Cricetulus griseus: one gene and its partners. The protein of the gene in region 3 interacts with the protein of the main gene of each other region in a pairwise test. Links are inferred from orthologs where the notes say so. Each region holds a gene or a part of one and is shown on either strand. Other genes may lie near its edges. The genes, in order: Rbm17, Casp7, Sat1, Dipk1b, doublesex- and mab-3-related transcription factor 3 and Cchcr1.

What was found.
Region 1: the proteins of Sat1 (region 3) and Rbm17 interact in binary tests that used the Homo sapiens proteins (3 or more experiments, as listed by UniProt). The two-hybrid records come from large-scale screens. The link is inferred for Cricetulus griseus from reciprocal best matches to the Homo sapiens genes SAT1 and RBM17.
Region 2: the proteins of Sat1 (region 3) and Casp7 interact in binary tests that used the Homo sapiens proteins (3 or more experiments, as listed by UniProt). The two-hybrid records come from large-scale screens. The link is inferred for Cricetulus griseus from reciprocal best matches to the Homo sapiens genes SAT1 and CASP7.
Region 4: the proteins of Sat1 (region 3) and Dipk1b interact in binary tests that used the Homo sapiens proteins (3 or more experiments, as listed by UniProt). The two-hybrid records come from large-scale screens. The link is inferred for Cricetulus griseus from reciprocal best matches to the Homo sapiens genes SAT1 and DIPK1B.
Region 5: the proteins of Sat1 (region 3) and doublesex- and mab-3-related transcription factor 3 interact in binary tests that used the Homo sapiens proteins (3 or more experiments, as listed by UniProt). The two-hybrid records come from large-scale screens. The link is inferred for Cricetulus griseus from reciprocal best matches to the Homo sapiens genes SAT1 and DMRT3.
Region 6: the proteins of Sat1 (region 3) and Cchcr1 interact in binary tests that used the Homo sapiens proteins (3 or more experiments, as listed by UniProt). The link is inferred for Cricetulus griseus from reciprocal best matches to the Homo sapiens genes SAT1 and CCHCR1.

Annotation. Positions count from the first base shown.
Region 1 is NC_048596.1:228,365,288-228,368,787, forward strand, and holds part of Rbm17 (splicing factor 45), read right to left. Parts: intron 2,748-3,500; coding exon 2,650-2,747; intron 688-2,649; coding exon 631-687; intron 1-630. UniProt on the Homo sapiens protein: Splice factor that binds to the single-stranded 3'AG at the exon/intron border and promotes its utilization in the second catalytic step. Involved in the regulation of alternative splicing and the utilization of cryptic splice sites.
Region 2 is NC_048596.1:5,002,387-5,004,706, forward strand, and holds the end of Casp7 (caspase-7), read right to left. Parts: intron 2,034-2,320; coding exon 1,804-2,033; 3' UTR 501-1,803; downstream 1-500. UniProt on the Homo sapiens protein: Thiol protease involved in different programmed cell death processes, such as apoptosis, pyroptosis or granzyme-mediated programmed cell death, by proteolytically cleaving target proteins.
Region 3 is NC_048604.1:90,683,124-90,687,361, forward strand, and holds Sat1 (diamine acetyltransferase 1), read right to left. Parts: upstream 2,801-4,238; coding exon 2,735-2,800; intron 2,479-2,734; coding exon 2,427-2,478; intron 2,309-2,426; coding exon 2,225-2,308; intron 797-2,224; coding exon 695-796; intron 602-694; coding exon 561-601; intron 308-560; coding exon 137-307; downstream 1-136. UniProt on the Homo sapiens protein: Enzyme which catalyzes the acetylation of polyamines. Substrate specificity: norspermidine = spermidine >> spermine > N(1)-acetylspermine. This highly regulated enzyme allows a fine attenuation of the intracellular concentration of polyamines.
Region 4 is NC_048599.1:138,019,608-138,023,623, reverse strand, and holds the start of Dipk1b (divergent protein kinase domain 1B), read right to left. Parts: upstream 2,801-4,016; coding exon 2,738-2,800; intron 1-2,737.
Region 5 is NC_048596.1:35,680,195-35,683,476, forward strand, and holds the end of doublesex- and mab-3-related transcription factor 3, read right to left. Parts: intron 1,466-3,282; coding exon 501-1,465; downstream 1-500. UniProt on the Homo sapiens protein: Probable transcription factor that plays a role in configuring the spinal circuits controlling stride in vertebrates.
Region 6 is NW_023276806.1:229,456,600-229,460,824, forward strand, and holds the start of Cchcr1 (coiled-coil alpha-helical rod protein 1), read left to right. Parts: upstream 1-1,425; 5' UTR 1,426-1,440; coding exon 1,441-1,732; intron 1,733-1,738; exon of another isoform or gene 1,739-1,756; intron 1,757-2,283; exon of another isoform or gene 2,284-2,306; coding exon 2,307-2,458; intron 2,459-2,678; exon of another isoform or gene 2,679-2,743; coding exon 2,744-2,810; intron 2,811-3,026; coding exon 3,027-3,228; intron 3,229-4,225. Other genes in the region: Tcf19 (transcription factor 19), read right to left, coding at 368-605. UniProt on the Homo sapiens protein: May be a regulator of keratinocyte proliferation or differentiation.

The DNA of each region.
Region 1 (3,500 bases), on a different chromosome or scaffold from region 3:
TACTGTGTAGACAAATACTGCTCAGTAACAAAAATTAATGGGAAAAGTCACTGCCTCCTTGTGAAAGGTCACAAAATACAACAGGCCCTAAACCTCTGAGTTACAAAATCTGTTACCTATTTGTGACTTTTGAGACAGGTCTCACTCTATAGCACAAGCTAGCCTGGAAACGCACTATCCAGCATGGGCTGGCCTTGAATTTGTGTATTTCCTGTCTTTGTCCTCCATGCTGGGTAATGGGCATGAGCAACTATTGCTTTCATTAACTTCAAATGAACCTCACACAAACATGAAATCTTGATGAAAACAATAAAAACCAATCTATCTTCCTGTATAAAAATCTGCACTCAGATCCTGGTATTAAAAAATTCCAAGTGCACAACAGGGCATTCAGAAGGCAGAGGCAGGTCAACACAGTTCCAGGCTAGCCAGTACCACACAGTTGAGACCCTGTTGCAAAACAAAACAAAGCAAAGCATCCCAGTGCAGCAGGCAGTAAGGGCCACTGTGACTTCAACAAAGTTGTTTTGCTTTAAACTCAGGAAACTAGAGATTCAAATATAGGATATCCACTGTCCATAAATACCTGTATGAGAATAAGATAATAAAAGAAGAAAAAAGTATACATACACTCCTTGTCTTTCTCTACAAGAGAAGTAGGTGGGGCAATGGCAGCTCCTCCCATACCTGTGAAAACACAAGGACTGGGATTAAAGGACAATACACTTACAAGAATTACCATCCAGCACTTGCCCATCTATTGTATCACCACCCTGCTCTCCAAGAAAGAGAACCACCTCCTTCCTCATGGCAACATACAAACAATTACAGGTCTAAAGCTGGTATCAAAATGTAAAAAAGAAGGGGCTCAGGAGCTCGAAGCCCTAACTGAGTAGCTACTAACAACTGACAGTTTCTGGGGATTGTCTTAAGAGTATGACTCCTGGTAGGTTGCCCACAAGTCACTAGATGACCGCACACACAAAAGTGTGTGGGCAGCATATGATATTGGACTTGATCAATTTTGTTTGTTTGTTTGTTTGTTTTTAAAGAAGAGCATACCAAAGTTGGAGGAAGGCAGGGAAGCAGGGGTTAAACTGGGAGGAGTAAGGGGTGGATATAACCAAAATACATTGTATTAATGTATGAAATTCTCAAAGAATAAACATATATTAGAAAATGTAGACAATACCCAAAGCTTTTTATTGGAAGTTGCATAGTCCCTGCTATTATTCAAGGGGGAAAGTCTCTAATATACAGAAAGTACCTGTCACAAAAAGATATTAGCTACCTTATGGACTGGGAAGATGAGGCTTACAAGTATTCAAGACAGAAAACATGTTAATAAAAACCAAATAATGATTGATATTGCATATCAAGGGTGCAACACTACCAGACATGATGCATTCAATAAACAATAAACATTATTCTAAGTAAGAAAAGTAATGGAACCATGGTGGTGCATGCCTGTAATCTAAACATTCAGGGAGCTGAGGCCAGGGGGATGGCAATGAGCTTAATGTATGATTGGGCTACAGTTTCAGGGCTATGTGCATATTAAGACTGTCTCAAACACCACCATTACCAACTCCACCACCAAACTACAAAACCAACGATGACAAAAAAACCCATACAAAAACATTTAATTCGCACATCTAAGTACTAAGATATTTAAATTGTAACTTATTCTTTTCCACTTAGCAGATATTTTTAAAATTTAAATTTTTACCCTATAACAGGCTTCATCATATAGCTGGGAAGACCATTCCTGCCATCTGACAGAACCACATATACAGAACTACCAACTACCACGACACATAACTCTTAGGTTGTATGTTCAAGACAACAAATTACAGTGAGGGCTTTGGCAAATAAAACCAAGGACAAGACCAAAAGCAGGTCTATAATGTCCAGAATGCACTTAGCCCCAAGACTCACATTGGAAGCTAACAGAACCTGCTGCGAGCTGTAAAGGTCTGAGACACTTAAAGTAGTACCTGTTAGGTAGGAAACAAGCAAAGGATTCTGTCAACCAAACCAGCCAACTAAAGTCCTGGCAAGCACACCATGAAGCCAAAAGATTATTGTATTCTTTCAAGTACCATCAGCTACTGCTTGTAATTCCTAGGAATTGATTTTAGACACAACTAACCCTCTGCTCAAACTGTTAATAGGAAGACTGGGTCAAAGTCCCCAGTACAGGTTTTGATCTCCCTGTCCTCAGGAGGCAGGTGAACATGCAAAGAAGCATGATGGACTCTCAACTCCAGTTGAACTAGTGACAAATGTACTCTGAATATGTTGTCTTCCCTCCCTACCCAGTGCTGACCTGAAATGCACTGGGCTTGAGAAACAAGAGATGACCATGCCTCAATTAAAGTGGAGAAATAAAACTAATGCTATTTTCAAAATATATAACAAATGTCTCAAAGTGTTTATGAAGTTCAGAGTAAGGTATATATGAAAACAGTATAAACCAAAGCTGCTATGGAATGTGGACTGGTGGGAATATAGAGCACCTCCCCCTGATCTCCCCACCCCCACGCAATTACCCAAACTAAAGTGAAATAAACCATGTCTCAAATGAAAAAAAGCAATGCCTGGGATAGTGCTGAGTCTAAAGTGTGCTTATCTCTGTTGATGCCTTACTTCTTTTTCTCCGCTCTCGCTCATAATCTTCATCTTCATCAGAATCTGGGTCTGGTCGCCTAGAAAACCCGCTGGCTTCATGCCTGTCTTTACGCCTCCTGTAATAACAAAGTAATGAATGTTTATCACAGACAAATTAGTACAGAACATGAAGCTTAAACGTCATCATGACTTTCTCTTGGCAAAAGAAAAATGTTCTTTAAGAATAAATTTTCAATTTATGTATATATGCTGGGGATGGAAAAGAATTCAAAAGAAAAAATGAACAAGTTTAACCAATACAGGAGTATAATCCATAGGAAAAAAATTATATCTAACTTTTTATTTTAAGGCATATGCATATACAGTTTAATGATTTCAATTTTCTAGGCTACAAAATCACTCATAAAAGTCACTCATCCAATAAACGAGAAATACCATATTAGTATAGAATTCATATTAATTAACAAAACTAAAAATTTTAAGACGCTAGGTATGGTGGCACATCTCTAATGCCAGCACTCAGGAGGCACAGGCAGGCAGATCTCATTGAGCTCAAAGACAGCCTGGTATACGTAGTGAGTTCCAAGACAGCGAGGGCTACACAGACAAGCCCCATCTAGAAAAACCAAAATCCAATCCCCAAAATAAAGGAATAACACTGAAACACTGTAAGTAGTTGTGATTCTGGCAGTCACAACCCTGCTAACAATTTCAACATGGGTTTCTATTGTGTTTTGGTTTTCAGATAGTCTCATGTAGCCCTGGCTAGTCTTAAACTATGTAGGTGGATTACAGTCATGTACCACCACACCTGGCTACCAGTGGGTTTTCTAAGTTACTTTTCTAATTCATGCAAAGTCTACACTTTA
Region 2 (2,320 bases), on a different chromosome or scaffold from region 3:
GCCTTTACCCCAAGTCCACTGTGCTTAGCATCTTTGTTTCTACATTATCCCACTTTGCTTACAAAGCCCATGGATTCTGGCAGTAAAAGGGCAGATGTTAGAGTCATGGTCTCTACTTAAACTGTGACCATCTGGTAGAGTTTTGATGGCAGGGACCAGCAGCAAGTCCAACAAACTGGCCTTAAGTGATTTTCTTAGTGGGAAGTCTACTTTTACAACACTGATTTTTCTTCCCAAATTAACAGGAGGGAGGCCATCCCAAACCGCGTTACAGGTTAATTAACCCTTTTTATGAAACATTTGACTTCTAAGTGATTAACATACTTATAGTGCTCTAGCTTCAGAATAAATAATGTTTGTGCTTTGTATGGAGACACAGGCAGCAGGGCCATTCTCACCTGGTTTCCTAATTTGTTGTCATCTTCTCTTATTTTCTTTTATGTTCTCTAAGTTCTCACTGCCCTAGATAACTTTATGAAGAAAGCAGCCTGGGCCAGTGAGGAGTTACTAAACCACATTTTAATCAATAAATAGGAACATTTGTTAACCATTTATTAGGTGGAAAAAAATAGGAACGTATAGCGAATTCCAAAGAAAACGACACCTTGAAAAGGAAGTGCCAAGATCTTTACCCTAAGTATCATTCATAGAATCAGAGGTAACAAAATATTATTTAGGAAAAAAAAACAACTTGGAATATTTGAAAGAATTCCAGATGTGTCTGAAATAAAAAACCACTATTTTGCACATGAAGTAGAAACAGATTGTTCTTCAGCACCTGTGTGGATGGTCTGACAAACCGATGAACAGAAGAACTGCGGCGTACAAAACTGTTATTTAAGTTCACATTATGGGCCAAGTTCACACCCCCCACTCCCTGGCTCAACAGCTCTTGCTCTGATCTGATTCCCAGGGAATCTCCATCCCCAGGGCCCTCATCAGCTGCTTTCAGGTACCTTGAATGTTGAGGTGTTGGTGAGGGTATGAGGACAAGCCTGGGGAGGCCTTGGTATCTGACTCAGCTCCCGCTTGGTTTCTATCTCAGACAGTAGCTTTTGTCCTTGGTGTGGCTCCATTTACCACAACTCTCCATGGTCCTAGCTCCTGGGGGCAGCGCTACCAGTTCTTACTGATGACCAGGGAACCAGCCTCCTCTTACAGCCTCCCAGTCACACCTGAGGTAAGAGATTTCAACTGCTTGGCTCTTTTTCTTAATTACCCACTTAAGTGAGCTCCCTGTATTGACCCTTCTCCATCGGAACACCGAAAATGGCTTGTTTTCTGGACCAGATCCTGCATACTAAAATACTATTTCCTCACTTCCCTGGGAAGGTCTGCTTAAGAATCTGTCCGAAGCCAATGAAAACAACCGCTCTACAAAACAGCCACCTTTTCCAGGCAGGAGAGGCAATGAGTGTCTTGGCTATGCTTGTTTGTCAAGAACTGGAATTCTCTTTGCCAAGTCAAACTAAGACTGACTTTCCATTAATGCCACCACCAAGAAGTCTTCTCCAGAGGTCATTTTCATAGCACACACTCATGTGATGACCAGGTAAAGGAACTCTGAACAGAAAATTAACCTTAAAAGGAAAGAACAAAGCCATCCAATGAACAAAATTATTAAAAAAAAACTCTAGGAATGCAGAATATCAGACATTGCCAATCAACTTCCTCCCTGCTCAATCAATACACAAATCTCTTTAACATTCCCGGGTATTTTGAGAGCATCAAAACAATTAAAATAGAATAACAACTGGACTCATGGATGAGTGCCTGCAGGCTCTCAGCTGGAAGGGAGGGATGTCAACGGCCAAAGTAGAGCTCTTTGGTGAGCATGGAGACCATACATGGGATCTGCTTCTTCTCGTTGAAGCAGGGATCATCACACTGGGACTCGAAGTGCCTGGCCACCCTGTCGTTCACTCTGGTCAGGATCTGCATGATCTCCAGGTCTTTGCCATGCTCGTCCAGGATGGAACAGAGGGCCTGCACAAACCAGGAGCCTTTTCCTGGGTTCCTCCATGAGTAATAGCCTTCACGGGGGGGGGGGGGGGGTTTGAAGAGAGAGAGAGAGAGAGAGAGAGAGAGAGAGAGGATCCATTAGCCAACCTTGCAAGCTACATCACCCCCTGGGAAGAATGGACTCTCAGCATTGTGGGGCCTGGGTGTCCATTTGGACATAATCTTCCTTTCGTCTGCACTAAGGCGCCAATGAGACGGCTATTTTGAGAGCGAGCATCAGGGTGTGAAGATGCTCAAGAATCTTTGGGTTTTCCAGCACGGAAACCAGTGACAGACATGTGACTAAGGGCCCATGATG
Region 3 (4,238 bases):
AACAACGCCACTGGTAATAAAGCTTTGGAATTGGTGTTCATGCTATTATTTCACTACAAACAAGATAGAGAGCAAGATAAGTTGAGAATTTATTCTAAAGTATAATGGAGGTTGTCATTGTCTACAAAGGCACTCCTTACTCCTCTGCTGCCATTTTTAGCAAGTACTCTTTGTCAATCTTGAAGAGCCTCCATCCCTCTTCACTGGACAGGTCAGAAGCACCTCTTCGTTTGTAGAAGTTGATAGATGGTTCATTCCATTCTGCTACCAAGAAGTGCATACTGCTGCAGCGACACTTCATGGCAACCTAGTACAAGAGAGAAAACATAAGCCCAGTGACATTTCACCCGCTTGCCAAGACCCAATTTTGATTCATTCATTACAATAACCCAATAACTCTTACAAATTCAGAAGCCTAAATCTAGGACACCTGGGTGTATGTGATGGGCCACAACTATGATCCCAGCACTAGGGAGGTGGAGACAAGCTTGAGGCCAGCCAGGGCTACATATTAATACTAGGCCAGTCTGGGATATACAAAGAAATGCTAGTGAACATACCTGGCTTAGATTCTTCAAAATTTCTGATCCTATGCCAAACCCTAAAAGAAAGCAATACAATTTAGCTTAGTCATTTTAAGGCCAAAGGCTCTGATTTCTCTTTAAACTGCCTCCAATCCCAAATTCAATTGTACCTCTGTAATCACTCATCACAAAGAAGTCTTCAAGATAAAGTAACTTGCCAATCCATGGGTCATAGGTAAAATAGTACATGGCGAAACCAACAATGCTGTGTCCTGTAATAAGAGTATCCCATGAGATACAGAGAAAAAAAGCAAACCATTCAAGCTGTATTGGCAGAAACAGAAGCCTATCATAGATTGTAAGAAAATACACGTGCATGCATCATGGAAACAAGTAGTCATGAACTGGACTGCCTCCTCATGTTTATGCTAGTACAGTGCAGACCGATGATGGACGATCTCTCTGGTCTCAGACATGTATTTGCAAAAAGCACACATTAGAGCTAGCTGAAGCTAGGCTACACCTGTGGACTGGCTAGTCTGCAGTCTGCTGGACTCACACTCAGGAAATGAGAACACTTTCATTACTTGCCAGAGCAAAATTGCCACAGACTTAAACTAAACACACACATTATTCACATCCTGATGACATACTGGTATGTCAGCTTGGCAAAAGTTGGGTTTACACAGCAGTTTAGAAGAGGAAATATTTGTAGTTTACCAACTCTTGCTTCCTTAAGGTCAGAACACCAGGCCAAAAGTACTATGTTTACTTTCAGAACTTGTCTTCCCATGCATAAATTTTCAATTTACTTTCCCAAGTTTTTAAGGCAGGAGAAGTAGCAGTAACAAGAATCCAGTGTTACGTAACACCCACTTACTTCTAAAAGCCAGCTTATCCCTTGGGTGTTCTTATTACATTCTAGCCTCGGGAACAGACGTCAGAAGAAAATTGAAGAAATCATCCACCCAAGCAACTTCCCCTTTTAGCCCTCTTCTGACCAGTCAACAAGGGTCAGCAAAAAAGAAATACATAAATAAAAATAAAAATAAAACCAATTCAAAATTGACTCCCTCAAAAGGAGTGTCAACTCAATTCCAAACGGAGGCAATGGTTGCAAATTAAACTTTCTAGCCATTTTCTATTTCTTTGCAAACAGACAGGAAGCGAATATAAGTTTCTGATCTACCATGTTTTAAGTGTGCGATAATAGGACCTTACCTCATTTATCATGATCATCTACTTTATTGTGTAAAGGATCTTTTAGTTACCTCCCCGCCCATCCATGTACACAGAAGGGCCATGTACATGGCGAAGCTAGAGACTGTAACCTGAGGATTGGGACAAATTAAAGAAAAAAATGTGATTTAACACAATTACAAAAAAAAAAAAGATTAGGTTAGGGTCAAACAAAAACCATTTTTATGAAACTGAATTACAACAAATGACATTATACCTAACTCTTCCGGGTTTCCACAGCACTCTGATACTTGCTTAAACAGCTCTCTTAACCCGCCCTATTATAAAGTACTGCACATACATTTTCTTTTTCCTCAGTCATTTGCACACTGGCTGGCTGTTATTTCTGACCAGCTTCTCAGTAACTTCTGCCCGTGTAGTTACAGGTTCTGTACAGTAGACTCTACGGTTTTGATACAACACTCGTTCTCTCTGGCTTCTGGACAGGAAGAAGGGGTTACCTTCAGGGGTCCAGTGCTCTTTAGGCACTTCTGCAATCAGGCAGTGGTAGAAGGGGTGTTCTCCAAAACCATCCTCTAGGAGATCTGTAAAATGGGGGAGGAGGAGACAGTGTTGACTTTTGTAGGTGTCAGGTAACAGCTTGTTGCCTCCCTGAGGCCCCACTCTCCCCACTTCACCTCCCCCCCGCCACGACTTCGTTACCTTTCTCGGTTAACATTACTTGATCTTCCATGTATTCATATTTAGCCAGTTCCTGGGAATGATACATATAAAAGAAAGGACAATGAAAGTCCTGTCCAGCCCTGCCAGCTCACAGAAGGGGAAATGGGGTAGGCGGGGTCCGGTGGTGACTGGCATGGAACTTCTGGACCTGACCCGGGCTGGGGTTGGCGGGCTGAGAAAAGGGAATTATTGACTGGGCAACATCTCAGAACCGAAGATATCAACTCCCCGAGGAAACGGAACCTCCCTCACCCTCCGCCCTAAGGAGAGCCGGGCCTTTTCCCTACCTTGATCAGTCGCAGGATGTCACTGCAGTCAGAGGCAGTGGCTGGACGGATCTTGAATTTAGCCATTTTCGTCTTTTGCTTTTCTTCCCTTTGCGCACCAGGCCCCTGTACTTGAACAGCAGGAGGAGGTGGTTCCTCATTCGTCTCCCGGGAGCGTCCTCTTCTCAGTCAGGCTGGCACCATGACCCGGCGAACCTCAGTGTTAGACAGAAAACTGGGAGAGTTGCTTTGGGAAGCTGCGCAGCTAAGTTGTGGCAAGACCTTGCCTTTTAAGTCCGCTGGAGCTCCTCCTCGGGACCGTGAGATGGAGCGATCACAACCAGTAAGGCTGCGAGCCCGCGGGAGCACCTCCCTCTTCCGGGCTCTCTCGTGACCCTGAAACCGATGGCGCAAACCGGGAGGGCGGGACAGGGCGAGGTGCGCCACTGCGCTATCAAGGCCTTGCGTCCCCTAGCGGCGCCTCAGGGATCCTTCCAGGAAGCCTATGAGTGAGTGCCCGAGTGTGCCCTAGTAACCTCTGTAAATAGAAAATGCGGATTGCCCCTGTGACCCCCGGACATTGCTGAGAAAAGCAAACTCAGAAAGCCTGACTTTTGAGGATGACAGAAAGATTATTCTAGCCATTTTCAAAGTGTGATCGGGAGGTGTAATTTTTTCCCCTTTTGTTGTAATTTTCCACAGGCAGTTCATTGCTATGTGGTGATGTCATCGTTTTCATGACTAAAGGAATGTGTGTGTATTTGCATTTTTGTTTTGTTTTTGAGACAGGGTCTCTCTGTGTTGCCTTGGCTGTCCTGAAACTCTCTATGTACAACAGGCTGTCCTAGAATTCACAGCTCACAGAGATCTGCCTGCTTCTGCCTCCCCAGTGTGAGGATTAAAGCATGCACCACCATGTCCTGATCTTCTTGTATTTTCTCTAATTCCCTAAGATCAAATCTTAGGATTCCTTAATTTCTTTCCTTCTAGTTCGGCAGTTTTCAAACTGTGGGTCACAATCCTTGGGGGTCGCACAACCCTTTTACAAGGGTCACCTAAGAACACAAATATTTACATTACAATTCATAACAGCTAAATTACAGATATGAAGTAGCAATGACATAATTTTATGTCTGGGGACGACCACACATGAAGAACTGCATTAAAATGTCGCAGCATTAGGAAGATTGAGAACCAGTGTCCAATGACTAAAGTTGTAAAGTATTTTCTTTTTACTTCCCCCTCCTTATTTCCTTCTTAAACCTCTGTTCATTCCTGTGGACTTTCCTTCTGACTGAGGGATGTACTTCCTAATTTCCTTTAATGAAGGTTTGATTTTGTAAAAATATCTCAGTTTTGCATATTGTGTATGTCAGCTTACATTGTTGAAGGATTTATGTCACTGCTTATAGATTTTGAGGTCTGGAAGTTTTCTTTCAGCACGCCGATATCTGATCATCTCCTGCCTTCCTTTGCTGTTGTAACCCTTACTTGCTCTAGTTCATGTGTTTCTCTTGTTTCCTTT
Region 4 (4,016 bases), on a different chromosome or scaffold from region 3:
TAGAGGCAAACAGAAGAAGGTGAGTGTCAGGACAGGGTAGGCTGGGAACACAGAGTGCGGGTGAGAAGGTGAGCTCTCTGGGGACGGGCCATGCCAGTGGCTCCACAGCTGGTCTCAATGCACATACACCAGCTGTGGGCAGAGGTGGGCAGGATAGTGTAGTTCATGCTGTGGGCTTTTTGGTTTTTGTGTTTTGGAGGGGAGGGTTGTTGGTTTGGTTTGGTTTGGTTTGGTGAGTGGTTATTTGTTTGTTGAGACAGGGTTTCTCTGTGTAACAGCTCTGGCTGTCGTGGAACTCACTCTGTAGACCAGGATGGCCTAGAACTCACAGAGATCCCCCTCCTCTGCTTCCTAAGTGCTGGGATTAAACCACCCATCATGCTGTGTATTTTGCCACAATTTCTTTTTAAAAGCTGTGTGTGGCCAGGTGGTTGTGGCGCACACCTTTAATCCCAGTGCTGGGGAGGCAGAGGTGGGTGGATCTCTGTGAGTTCGACACCAGCCTGGTCTACAAGAGCTAGTTCCAGGACAGCCTCCAAAACTACACAGAGAAACCCTGCCTTGAAAAACAAAAACAACAAAACAAACATACAAACAAACAAAAAAAGCTGTGTGTGTAGTGGACACATTTCTGCTTCAGAAGAAACCAGCTCGGTTCCCAGCACCCACTCACAACCATCTGCAACTCCAGTTCCACAGGGTCCATTGCCTCCTTCTGACCTCCTCTGGCACACATGAATCACAATATACATGCAGGCAAAATATTCATTCACATAAACTAAGTCTTAAAAAATGTTTTAAGATGGAACCAGAAAACAAAAACAAAAACAGGCAGAGAGTCTACAACCCAAAACAAGGGTGGGCCTAAGACCTTCACTTCTGTGGTCCTCACTCCTCTGTCCTCATTTTCCCAGCTGACAGGTGAGAGCACTAGAGGGTGAGAAGAGGTCTGGTCTAGGTGCTCAGGACACTGGCTCCCACTAAGTACTCCAAACAGTGTCCAAAGTTGACAGCCAGAGACAGCTAGATGCCACCATCCTCCCCAGTGCCCAACTTGAGAAATGGCAGTCTCTTGCAGACAGCCTGTGCCACATATGGTTAAATGTCCCAATCTGAAGCTTAATGGCAAAGGAGAGTGAGAGGGCCAGACTTGTGGAGCAGCATCCCCAGAGGAGGGCTTCTACTAATGTCAAGTGCTTTCTGTGGCCTCCTGTTTACCGCTGCCAGAGAGTCTGAGAATGGAACCCGCCAGCATTCCACTTTTGGATCTGAGAGTCATGCTGAACTCAAATCTATACTCTTGCCCTAGCTCCCTCAGGTCAGAACAGAAAGGAACCTCCTTCACAAGAACAATGCCCAGCCCTTCTTAACGTTCTTCCAGGAGATGGTCCCTCTTCTGGCTCTATGGACCTCTCCTCCTGGGGCCCATTTGGTCCTGGCAATCAGCTGTTTCTTTCAGATTTGTTCAAAATGAAACATGAAGACTGAGAAACAGCAGGGGACACTGTTGCTGTGAGGCAAGATAAAGGACTTCAAGCTACACAAGAGCAAAGGGCTAGGACCTGAGCTAGCAGCTGACCCAGGCTGGACCAAGTAATATAGAACCAGAAGCCTGCTAGAAGTCTGCCAAGACAGGGTCCACACTCCAGGCAGGCCCCTCTCAGAACACCGGGCCTTGGCACAGGTGGCTCCACCAAAGCACTTTGGCTACTATGACCCAGGTTAGTTCTGATGGTCTACCTGGCCCTTTGTTAGACACATCTCTTCCCCTGGGCCCTTGAATCATTGCATATCTGCACCCCAGGGCAGGTGTCACCATGGTGGCTACTCAAAGCTTACATGGTCTTCTGCTACTCAGTGATGAACAGGCTGACAAGCCTTGGGCCCATATTTTGCAGGGATGAATAGTCCAGCACCAGAGAAGTCACTTGGGAGGTGGAGGGGGTCATTACAGGGATGGTAACTGCTCAGTGGCCTCCCTGCCTAGGAAGCCCACGCCATGTGCCAGGCGCCCTGGTGTTTCCTCAGTTTCCTGAAACAGGCTCAGGGCCGGTGAGGCTCAGCCAGTACTCTCCATGAGCCAGGCCAAACCCCTGTCACTGCTGAGTCAGGGCCTATCCTTCAGAACTAGGGGAATGGATACACCCCCATCTCCTGGCACAAGTAAGTTCCCCCAAAAACCTCAACTCACACCCAACCTGGGGCTGAGCATGGACCATAGTGCAAGCTAAGGCCCCTGGGAAAGGAGAGCAGACAAGGGCATCGGAGCCTGGAAGATCTCTACATCCAGTAGGCTTCAGTCTTCATCCTTTATCTAAAACCATCTAACGCAGGGCAGGCCCCGGGCCAAAGGTGCAGCATCCTCAGGTCGGCCCTGCAGAGAGGCCAGGGAGACCTGGGCAGGGCTGACAAGTGCTGGTTCCTTCTTGCAGGTTCTGAGGACCCTGGCAAGCAGAGGCTGGAGTCCAGAGGCCTGACCCCATCACCCCAAAGCATAAGCAGGGAGGGGGGGCGGGGGGGTCTCTTCTGCAGATAGAAGCTGGCCCTCACTGGCCCAAGGTCATCACAGTTCCTGGTTCCAGATAGCCAGAGGATGTCCCAAGTTTGCTACCCCAGAAAAACCAGCCTAATATCGAAGTAACGAAGGAGGGGCTTCGGGCACAACACGCCCACCGACCCACGCTATCCCACACCCAGCCCCTCCCCGTGTGGCTGCACCTGGCCTGCCGCCGCTTACCTGCAGGCCCTTGGAGAAGGGACAGAGGAGCACCAGGTGCACCAGGCGCCGCAGCCGCCGCATGGTGGGCGCCGTCCGGGGCTGTGGAACCCCGCGGCTGGCTCGGCCTCAGCCCAGGCCCGGCCAGGCCCGCAGCGGCCGCCGCTCGCACGCCATACGGGCCGCGCGCCTTCGGCCCGCGTTAAAAGCGAGGCGCGCGCCTTTCTGACGGCCGACCGCGACGCGCACGCGGGGAGACAGCAGAGAGGAAGGGCGTGCATGCGCGGGGAAACGGATGGGAGGGGGCGTGCACGCGCGCGCGCGGAGGCAATTGGGAAGGGCGTGCACGCGCGCGGGGGACCGGCGCAAGGCCCCTGGTCCAGTCTCGCCCTCCTGCAGGGGGGACCTCGCCCCTGCAGGCTCCGCGACCAGCTAAGGCGACCCGGACAGAGATTGGAGCGCAGGGGGAGGGCTGGCGCCGAAGACCTGAGGGGCCCCGGCCTGCGCTTGCGCTTTTCTTACACCTTTTCAAGGGTAAAAGACGAGGGATCTGTCCCCAGCCCTCCCGTGTTTGCACGTGAGATCAGTAGTGAGGCCACGGCCGCTGTATGGCACCGAGCGTCTGCAGCCATGGCTGCACCGAGGCGTGGGGAAGGACCCACAGCCCCAGCGGTCAGCAACTGCTCCTGAGAGCCAGTCTTTGATTTCTACGCACCGACAGACGCGCCCTGTCATGTGATTCCTATTTAGGGTGTTAGGGAGGCAGCAGCTGATCCCGGGGTAAAGGTTTGTTGAACTTAACAGACGATATCCAGAATGCCCGCTGCACCATCCCCCATGCGCACCAGCTGCCCTGAATCCTCATCCACACCTTTGGTGGGGCTTCTATGGCATTGTCGTTTGCATTCAAGGGAATACGGAGGCTGAAGGCCTTCCCATGTGCTCCAGTTCTTCCCATATACATCCTATGCAAAATGGTGTTAAAAGACAGCTTTAGTTTAAGGATTGTAATTACTTCGCAATTACTGGACCAGGCCAATTTTCTTTTCATAAAGTGGAGCAAGTGTCCCATGAGCCCTGCTGAAGGGGTTGGATTTATAGCCTAGAAAGGCTGAAGAAAGCTGGAGCCAAGAGCAGGTCACAAAATAAGAAAAAATAACACCAGGTCTGTATCCCAGAACACAAGAAGAAGAAACAAGGATCAAAGTAAATTCAAGACTATGTTTCAAGTTCCAGACTAGCCAGATACAAAGGGAGACCCTGTATCAAGGAAGGAAAGAAGGGGAGGAAGGAGAAAGAA
Region 5 (3,282 bases), on a different chromosome or scaffold from region 3:
AAAATTGTCCAGGCTTAAATAAGCGGCTGCACAGTCCGCTCTGTCCCCAAGTGCAGTCTCTCTTTGAATTGGAGCAGTATGTCCCTGTTCATAGTTGGTCAGCAACTGCAACCGGACCACTCCCTAAGGTTTCCGGCATCCTGAGGAATCCTTTCACAAAATTGCATTCAAGTATACTATTTCACTTAACATTCCAGGTTGAATTTAGGAGTAAAGTTGACCCTCCAACTAAATCTCCCCAGGCCCAGCCTTCTTAGGCAGTCCTTAGCTTTAGACTCATCTATAACACTCAGCACGAAATCCACAGAGCAGACCTATTTGGCATTCTCCAGTGCAGGGAATTAAATAAGTTATGTTTTTATTGCTAATGTATAGACTATCAAGCACAGTCACTTTGTCAAACAGGAGGAAAGAGAATACAGTATTAGTGGACTCTCCTGGGTGGAGGGGGGGTCCAGCACACACAAAATGCCACTTGGTCACCACCCATAGGTAACACTTTAGGATGATGTGTTGAGTATTCTAGAGTCCGAGGAGTCGGATCTCTCGTCATAGTCATCCTCTGTGTAGATGGGCTGCTTTGTCACGATTGGACACCCATCATCGGGGATGGAGATCCGAGGGTCCTCTGTGGTGCGGGAGGAGAGCACAGGCGAGCTCCGGAAGACACTGGTGGAGTTACTAGGGAAGGGGCTGACATACTGGGACCTCAGCTGGTACTGCTGCTGCAGCGTCATGGTGTTCCACAGGGTGACATCGTTGGGCAAAAAGGGGCTTGACTGGTTCCTGGCCAAAGTATTCCTCAGCATCAATGGGTACCGGGGTGGCTGGGGGAAAGGATGCTGCAAGGGCACGGCCAAGGGGTTGGGGACCACGTTGCTGGAGTCCGCCGAAAAGCGCAAGGTGTCAGGGACTCGGAAGGCGGAGCCCACCGACCACTTGGAGGAAGAGATGGGGTAGGAGCCCAGCGTGTGTTCAAAGATGTGGCCGCTGGAGGGCAGCACGAGGCTCTCTTCGGCCGTCCGCTCCGCCCCAGCAGCCGAGGACCGACTGGACAGCAGGACCTCCACCGCACTGACCAGGTCGCCCCCGCAGCCTTTCAGAATGAGCTCCAGCACAGTGGGCTTCTGGTTGGGGAAGATTTTCTTCAACACTTCCAGGGGTGGCCGGTTGGCTTTCAAACTGAAGGGCAGAGAGACGGTCCCCGATGGACCCTCGATCAGGAGGTGGCTCTGCTCAGCGTGGTACTTGGGGCTGTCAGGGCAGCTTTCTGGGTTACCCCCGTTTTTCTGCACAGCGTATCCCCCTTCATCCACGGACACGATCTCGGGGCTCTCTGGAGTGAAGCAGTTCTTGCCTTTGACCACATCTGGGGAGCTCCTCTGGTCGGTGTCTTTGTCACTGAAGGCCTCCGCAGCAGCGTTGTCTGCTGAACTGCTGTCCCCAAGTCGCTCTTCAGTCAGATCTGGAAGGCAAGACAACAGCTGGGTTAATCCCTTCCTGCTGTGCTCAGCTTCGAACTGCACTAGGCTTCTGGGAAGAGGAAGTTTGGCTCGCTGGGTCTTTAAAGAAGAAATCAAAAACCATCAAATGGGGTGGGCAAGTGGGGTCGGTCAAAGATGGCGCAATCAGGGTTTTCTTGGAATGCTGCAGGAGAGGAGGCTCGCCTTGAACACAGAATGGCCACATATGCCAGCAACCACAGAAGGCTTGGAGTACACAGCATTAGCGACCCATTTAGTGGGGCTGTGAGGATCTGAACAAGGCCTCAGAACCATGAAAGAAGGCCACAGGAGGAGCTCTAGCCATCATCAGCTGGAATACACCACCACCTACCCCACAGGGCACTTTAACAATCACATCTGCCTCCCACGGGGCTGGTTTTATGTTATATTATATACTTATATATAATATAATATAAATAGGGCTTGTAATTCTGACAGTTCTTCTTTTAACCGGGTTACCATGTTGATACTAGTTGATAGAGTTTTTCACCATTTTATATTTGAATTAGAAACAAGATTGTTTTACATGACAATCCCAGTTCCCTTCTCCCTCTCATCCTCCCCTAACACGCCCCCTACCTATCACTTACCCTTTCTTCTATTCTTCCCCTGACTCAACCTTTCTGCTCCCTCATGACCTCTGCATCCTTCCTCTTCTTCCCTTTCATTCTCGTAGCTCCCTCCCCCCTCTTCCCAAGCTCTCAATTTGCTCAGGCGATCTTGTCCCTTTCCCCTTCTCCAGGGGACCATGTGTGTCTCTCTTAGGGTCCTCCTTGTTTACTAGCATCTCTGGCAGTGTGGATTGTAGGCTGGTAATCCTTTACTCTATGTCTAAAATACACATATGAGTGAGTAGATAAGTTGATAGAGTTTCTAAGCCAAAGAAAAATACAACCCTTGAAATCACTTGAAAAAAAAAAAAGAAAGAAAGGAAGGAAGAAAGAAAGAAAGAAAGCTACTGAAGAGCCAGGCAAACTCAGCTGCCTGGGCCTTGCACTCAAGGCCAAACAAAGCCAGTTCTAATTCTGGACGGCAGGACAGATGGAGAGGAGAAAGAAATGGCTGGAAGGTTTCGGAGCAGAAGAGGGAGCCCTGTCTACCCACCTTGTGTGGCAAGGGGTACCTGGATGCCCATGTGTGAGCCAGTGTGCCAGTAAAGTCCCGGGAAAGGACCTATATGCAACATTCCAAATTCCATTTGAAGGGGGAAGGATGACAAAGAACTTCCTTAACAGAGCTAATTCTAGCAAGAGGGGTTGTTAAGCGCAGCCTACAGATTTACAACAGCAAACATTATCCTGGCACACAAAGCCTTCTGTTCTGGCTGCATCTATCTCACAACCTTTTATGAAACAGATCAGTTGCCAATTTGACATTTTAACAACCTGAAGACGGCACCCAGGAGAGCAAGCTTTGCAGTGCTAAATAGGCAAAAGGGAGTGGGTGACAGTACTTTGGGTTTCATAGTAAATTCTAACAGAAACTCTAAATTAAAGAACATAGTTTTTTTTATTAGCAAACTACATACAAATAGATTTTTAGCCTTTAAAGAAATAATAGGCTAGCTGTGGGTGCTTAATCCAGAGTAACTGATCTGAAAAAGAAAAGAGAAGAAACCACTCCCAGTAGGCACTAGTCAGGTTGTAAACTGTGGCTCTGTGTTTTCTCTTCCGGCCTGAATAGTCTCATTGTAGGCCTCTCTGTGGGCAAACCTGATTGTGTGCAGATAGCCAGAGGTGAAATTTCATCAAAGAAGCTTCTAGAAGGCACCCCTCCT
Region 6 (4,225 bases), on a different chromosome or scaffold from region 3:
AGCAACTGGATGGAAGAACTGTGGATGCCAGGCTTCTGAGGCTGCCTTGAGCTGGGAAGGAATGCCTAGGTCACTAGAACACCGCCTTAATGGGAACAAGGAGGTTCAGCAACCCTGGACACTTGAGTCAAGTGTGAGCATAGTGCTAGAATGTCCACTTTACTGATGACACCCCAGCGCCTCCCTCCTAGCCCTGTGTGAGCTAAAGCAGCCGGGCAGGTTAGTCCTGCACAGCTCTCATGGGCAGATCAAACCGGATCCTGCTTGTCTGCTCTACCAGAGATTGACAGGGACTCTGGGAGGCAGGTATGGAGTCCCAGAGGCTCCCCTACTCATGCCATCCTGGGGCTGCCTGCTCACCGCTTACCTTGACTGCTGTGGTCCTCCAGGCTGACCCGCCAGTCGTCCCCTTGGAGCTCAGCGTGCAGCAATGCATGGACCCCAGAGATGAGGCCCGGCTCCTGCTGGGGCCGCAGGGCCACATCACACAGGTCAGCCCTGCAGCCCAACCGATAGGTGCAGCCTGACCTGGACGGGGGGTGGAAGGTGTAGAGATCACCGCCCCTGCCGCCCCCTATGCGCAGCAGCTGGAAGCAGGGCAGCATGGGGGGGTGCTCCCCTCTGCACCGCTTCTCAGCAGTTCATCACCTCTCCTACTCCCAGGCCATGCACCGGGGGCTTCGGTTCAGTTGTCTGACGTCAGCAGCCCCACTGTGGGTAATGCCAACTTGAGAAACACAGATTTCCAAGAGCGCCAGAGGCCTGGACACGCATGCAACCGCTGTAGCTAGCGGCTGTCAAGATGAGACTTCAAAAGCAATTCCGGAGAAGCCCTTTCGCGATGCAAAACCAGGAAGACGTCCTGTGGGACCTCCGTGATGCCGGGTCCTCAGGCCGCAGAATATCCGGGGAGGCTGTAGCAATCTGTTCAAGGCAAAGCTACTTTAAGCGGCAGCTGGGGACACCCCAGCGGGGTGAGGAGGTCCCGCTACACGGACGTGCGTGCGACACGAACGTGTCCCCTCGAGTGTAAGCAGGAGCCGGGAGGGAAGCCTACAGGTCAAACTTCCTAATCCAGGTAGAGCACCCCTTCTGTCCTGCCCCGAGGGAAGGGAATCCGCTGTCACCCACAAAGGGCGGCGCAGACAGGTCCCTAACTCTGCAACAAGGTGGAGCTCACCCTCTCCTCTTGCGCTTGCGGGGTGCCCCGAAGAAGGACTCCACACCCTGTGCCCCTCGCTCCCGCTGCGGTTTGACAGCCAGGAAGCCGCCCTCCGGAGGGCGCGGCTCGGGCGGGCGAGCGGGCGAGCCGGCGGGCGCGCACCGCGCAGACTCCTCCTACGGAATTCCCGGGTCCAGCTTCGCGCCTGCGAGCCCGCGCCCCTCCCCAGGCTGTCTCTGATTGGCCATCTGACTCGCCCTCCTCCGCTGTACTGGACGATGCGCAGGGAGGGGCCGTCCATCTCCCGCCCTCCGCCGTTTCTGATTGGCCTGCAGGTTTCCCGGGTTCCCGGGATGGGGCGGGGCCGCCAGGGCGCGGAGAAGGCCTGGAGGAGTCAGTGTGCCTGCGTGCGCCGTTCTTCTTCCTTCCTCCTTCCGGCAGGCGGGGCGAGTTGGGGCTTTAGAGCATCCCGCCAACCCCACCCGCCGCGCGCATGCGTGCTCAGGGCGGGAAGCCTAGCGGGGAAGCCAGGGGCTAAGGGGCGTGGCAAGAAGGCGGACCTCGCGCTGGGTAAGGAGCGTTCGGCCGGAGTCGGTTGGTTGGGGGCGGAAAGGGGCCTGAGAGGGGGTGCTCAGGAGGGTGGAGGGGGTCCACAGGGCAGGAGGGGTGCAGGAGCCCGGTGAAAGAACAGATGAGGAGGTCGGGGCAGCCTTACAGCTCAGGGTCCTAGTGAGGGGGATGAGCCCGTGGGTGTGTGCAGGAGAGGAGAGGGCAGACCTGAGGACAGCGAGCGACCGGGACCATAACGTCAAGAAAAATGCAGAGTAGGACTAGGAAGAGAAGCGTGTAGGGATCTCGTTGAGTGGAAAACAAACAAACAAACAAAAAATTTGAGTTCGGACGGGAGTTGGACAAAGAAGATGCTGCAGGACTCTGAGCAGCGAAGGGCTTCGGGAATGGAAGCAGAGGGGATAGAGAGAAACTGAGGCCCGCTGCAGGGAGACTCCGATGAGATAACAGGAAGCTGGCTGCCTGGCAACGCGCTCCAGGCTGCTTGCATTCCCTGGGGATCCTAGGGAAGCCGCTTAACCCTACATGAGGCCCCATTCTTCTGGTGCCAGGCCTTGGGCTAACGCTTTTGTAGGAAATGACCCAGAAATCATGGCGCGGTGGTGCCTAGATGGGTTTCCCAACGTCCCTACCATACCATGGCGAGAACTGTGGAGACGGGGTTCACAACAGGCCCGCTCACCTCCAGACCAGAGCTACAGGGATCGTAGACACTTAAGGAGGAAGGTAAAGGCACCACTCACAATCCTGTAGTAGAAGCAAAATCCCCAAGAGCATCCCCTGGCCCCCATCTCGGTACATTTACCCCATGATTGTTGCCTGGTTCCTTTGTCAGGAGCGTGTGTTCGGGACAAGCAAGTCTGCCTTGTTAGGGAAGTAGGGAGAGAGAAGCTCAGAGCTGGGCAGATCTGTCAGTAACTGAAGGATTGTGGCTTTGTTATTATAGGACTTCCTCTTTGGAAGGTGGCCTGAAAACTGAACTGGAGTCTCCTTGTTTCTCCTACTGTCCAGGGGAACCTACACTCTTGCGGACAAGATCGAGAGGCTTCAGATAGAGTGGAGATGTTGTCTCCCTCAGGTCAGTAAGGCCAATCAAGGAGGCTGGGAAGTCTCTCTGTGTCTCTCTGCCTCTGTCTTTCTCCCTCTCTCCCTCCCTCTCCTCTCTTTCTCTCCCTCTCTCTCTCCTTCCCTTCCTCCCTCCCCCTCCCTCCCTCCCTCCCTCCCTCCCTCCCTCCGTCTTCCTCTCTCTCTCTGAGAAACTGACAGTCTTTACTCTTGTGACCCACCCCCTCAGGTTTTGCTGGACTGGTTCCTCCCTCCCACTTCCAAGCTCGGCCGAGAATGGCCCCGACCTGGGCTTCAGACATTCCCCAGTTCCAATCCACATTTGACCAAGATGTCCTAGAGAGGCGGCAGCTGGACTCTCAGAGGCCCACAGTGACCATGAGGGAACAGGATGTCTATGGAGATGGGCAGGGGCCAGGGCAGAGAGGCAGGTAGGGATCTGTCAATCACCTTTTTCTCAGACTTGCTAATGATCCTTTATACACACATTCCTTTATTTCAGCAGCCCTGGGTTCCATAACTTGTGTGGTTTTCTGTAGGCCATTGTTGGTACCTACACTGCATATACCATTATGCCCTGGAGAAAATCAAGAGAGAGGAGAGAGAGAGAGAGAGAGCGCGCGCTCTGGACTTAAATTCCCAATTAACAAGTGTTGCTAGAGTTTCTTTTCCTCCAGGTCCTGCCACCGCTTCAGCCCCAAATAAACACACAGACACTATATTAGTTATAAAACAGTTGGCCAATGGCTAGGGCTTCTTGGTGGCTAGCTCTCTCTTCATCATTAACCCACTTCTATAAATCTATGTATTTCCACGTGGTCTTGGCTTACCAGAAAATGCCCAGACCTGTTACTCCTTTGGCAGCTACATGGCATCTCCTCCCTGCATCTCTCCCAGGGTTCTCCCTGTCTCCCTGCCCCACCTATCTTCCTGCCTCTTTTGGCCAAACAGTGTTTTATTCATCAACCAATAAAAGAAACATATATACTGAAGGGCATCCCCCATCATCTCCTCTTTTCTGTCTAAATAAAAAGAAGGGTTTACTTTTACTTTAACATAGTAAAATTATATATAACAAAAACAGTTATCAAGTAAAAACATATAGTTAACAATAAAGAAGGAGTGTAAATGTCTGAGGGAGGAGATGGATTGCCCAGAAGCCATTGTGAAACGAAGTGACATGCTGGCTCTTAGTTAAAAGGGCCTTTCCCGGCATACACCACTGGAGCTGGCTATGCTCGGCATATGTGGTTTAAGATTTTATTTTTGAGCCGGGCATGGCCTGCCTTTAATCCCAGAGAGGCAGACAAGCAGGCAGATCTGAGTTCAAGGCCACTCCCTCCCTGGTCTACAGAGTGAATTCCCTGACAGCCAGGGCTACATAGAGAGAATCCTGTCTGGGGAAAAAAACAAAACAAAACAAAAAAG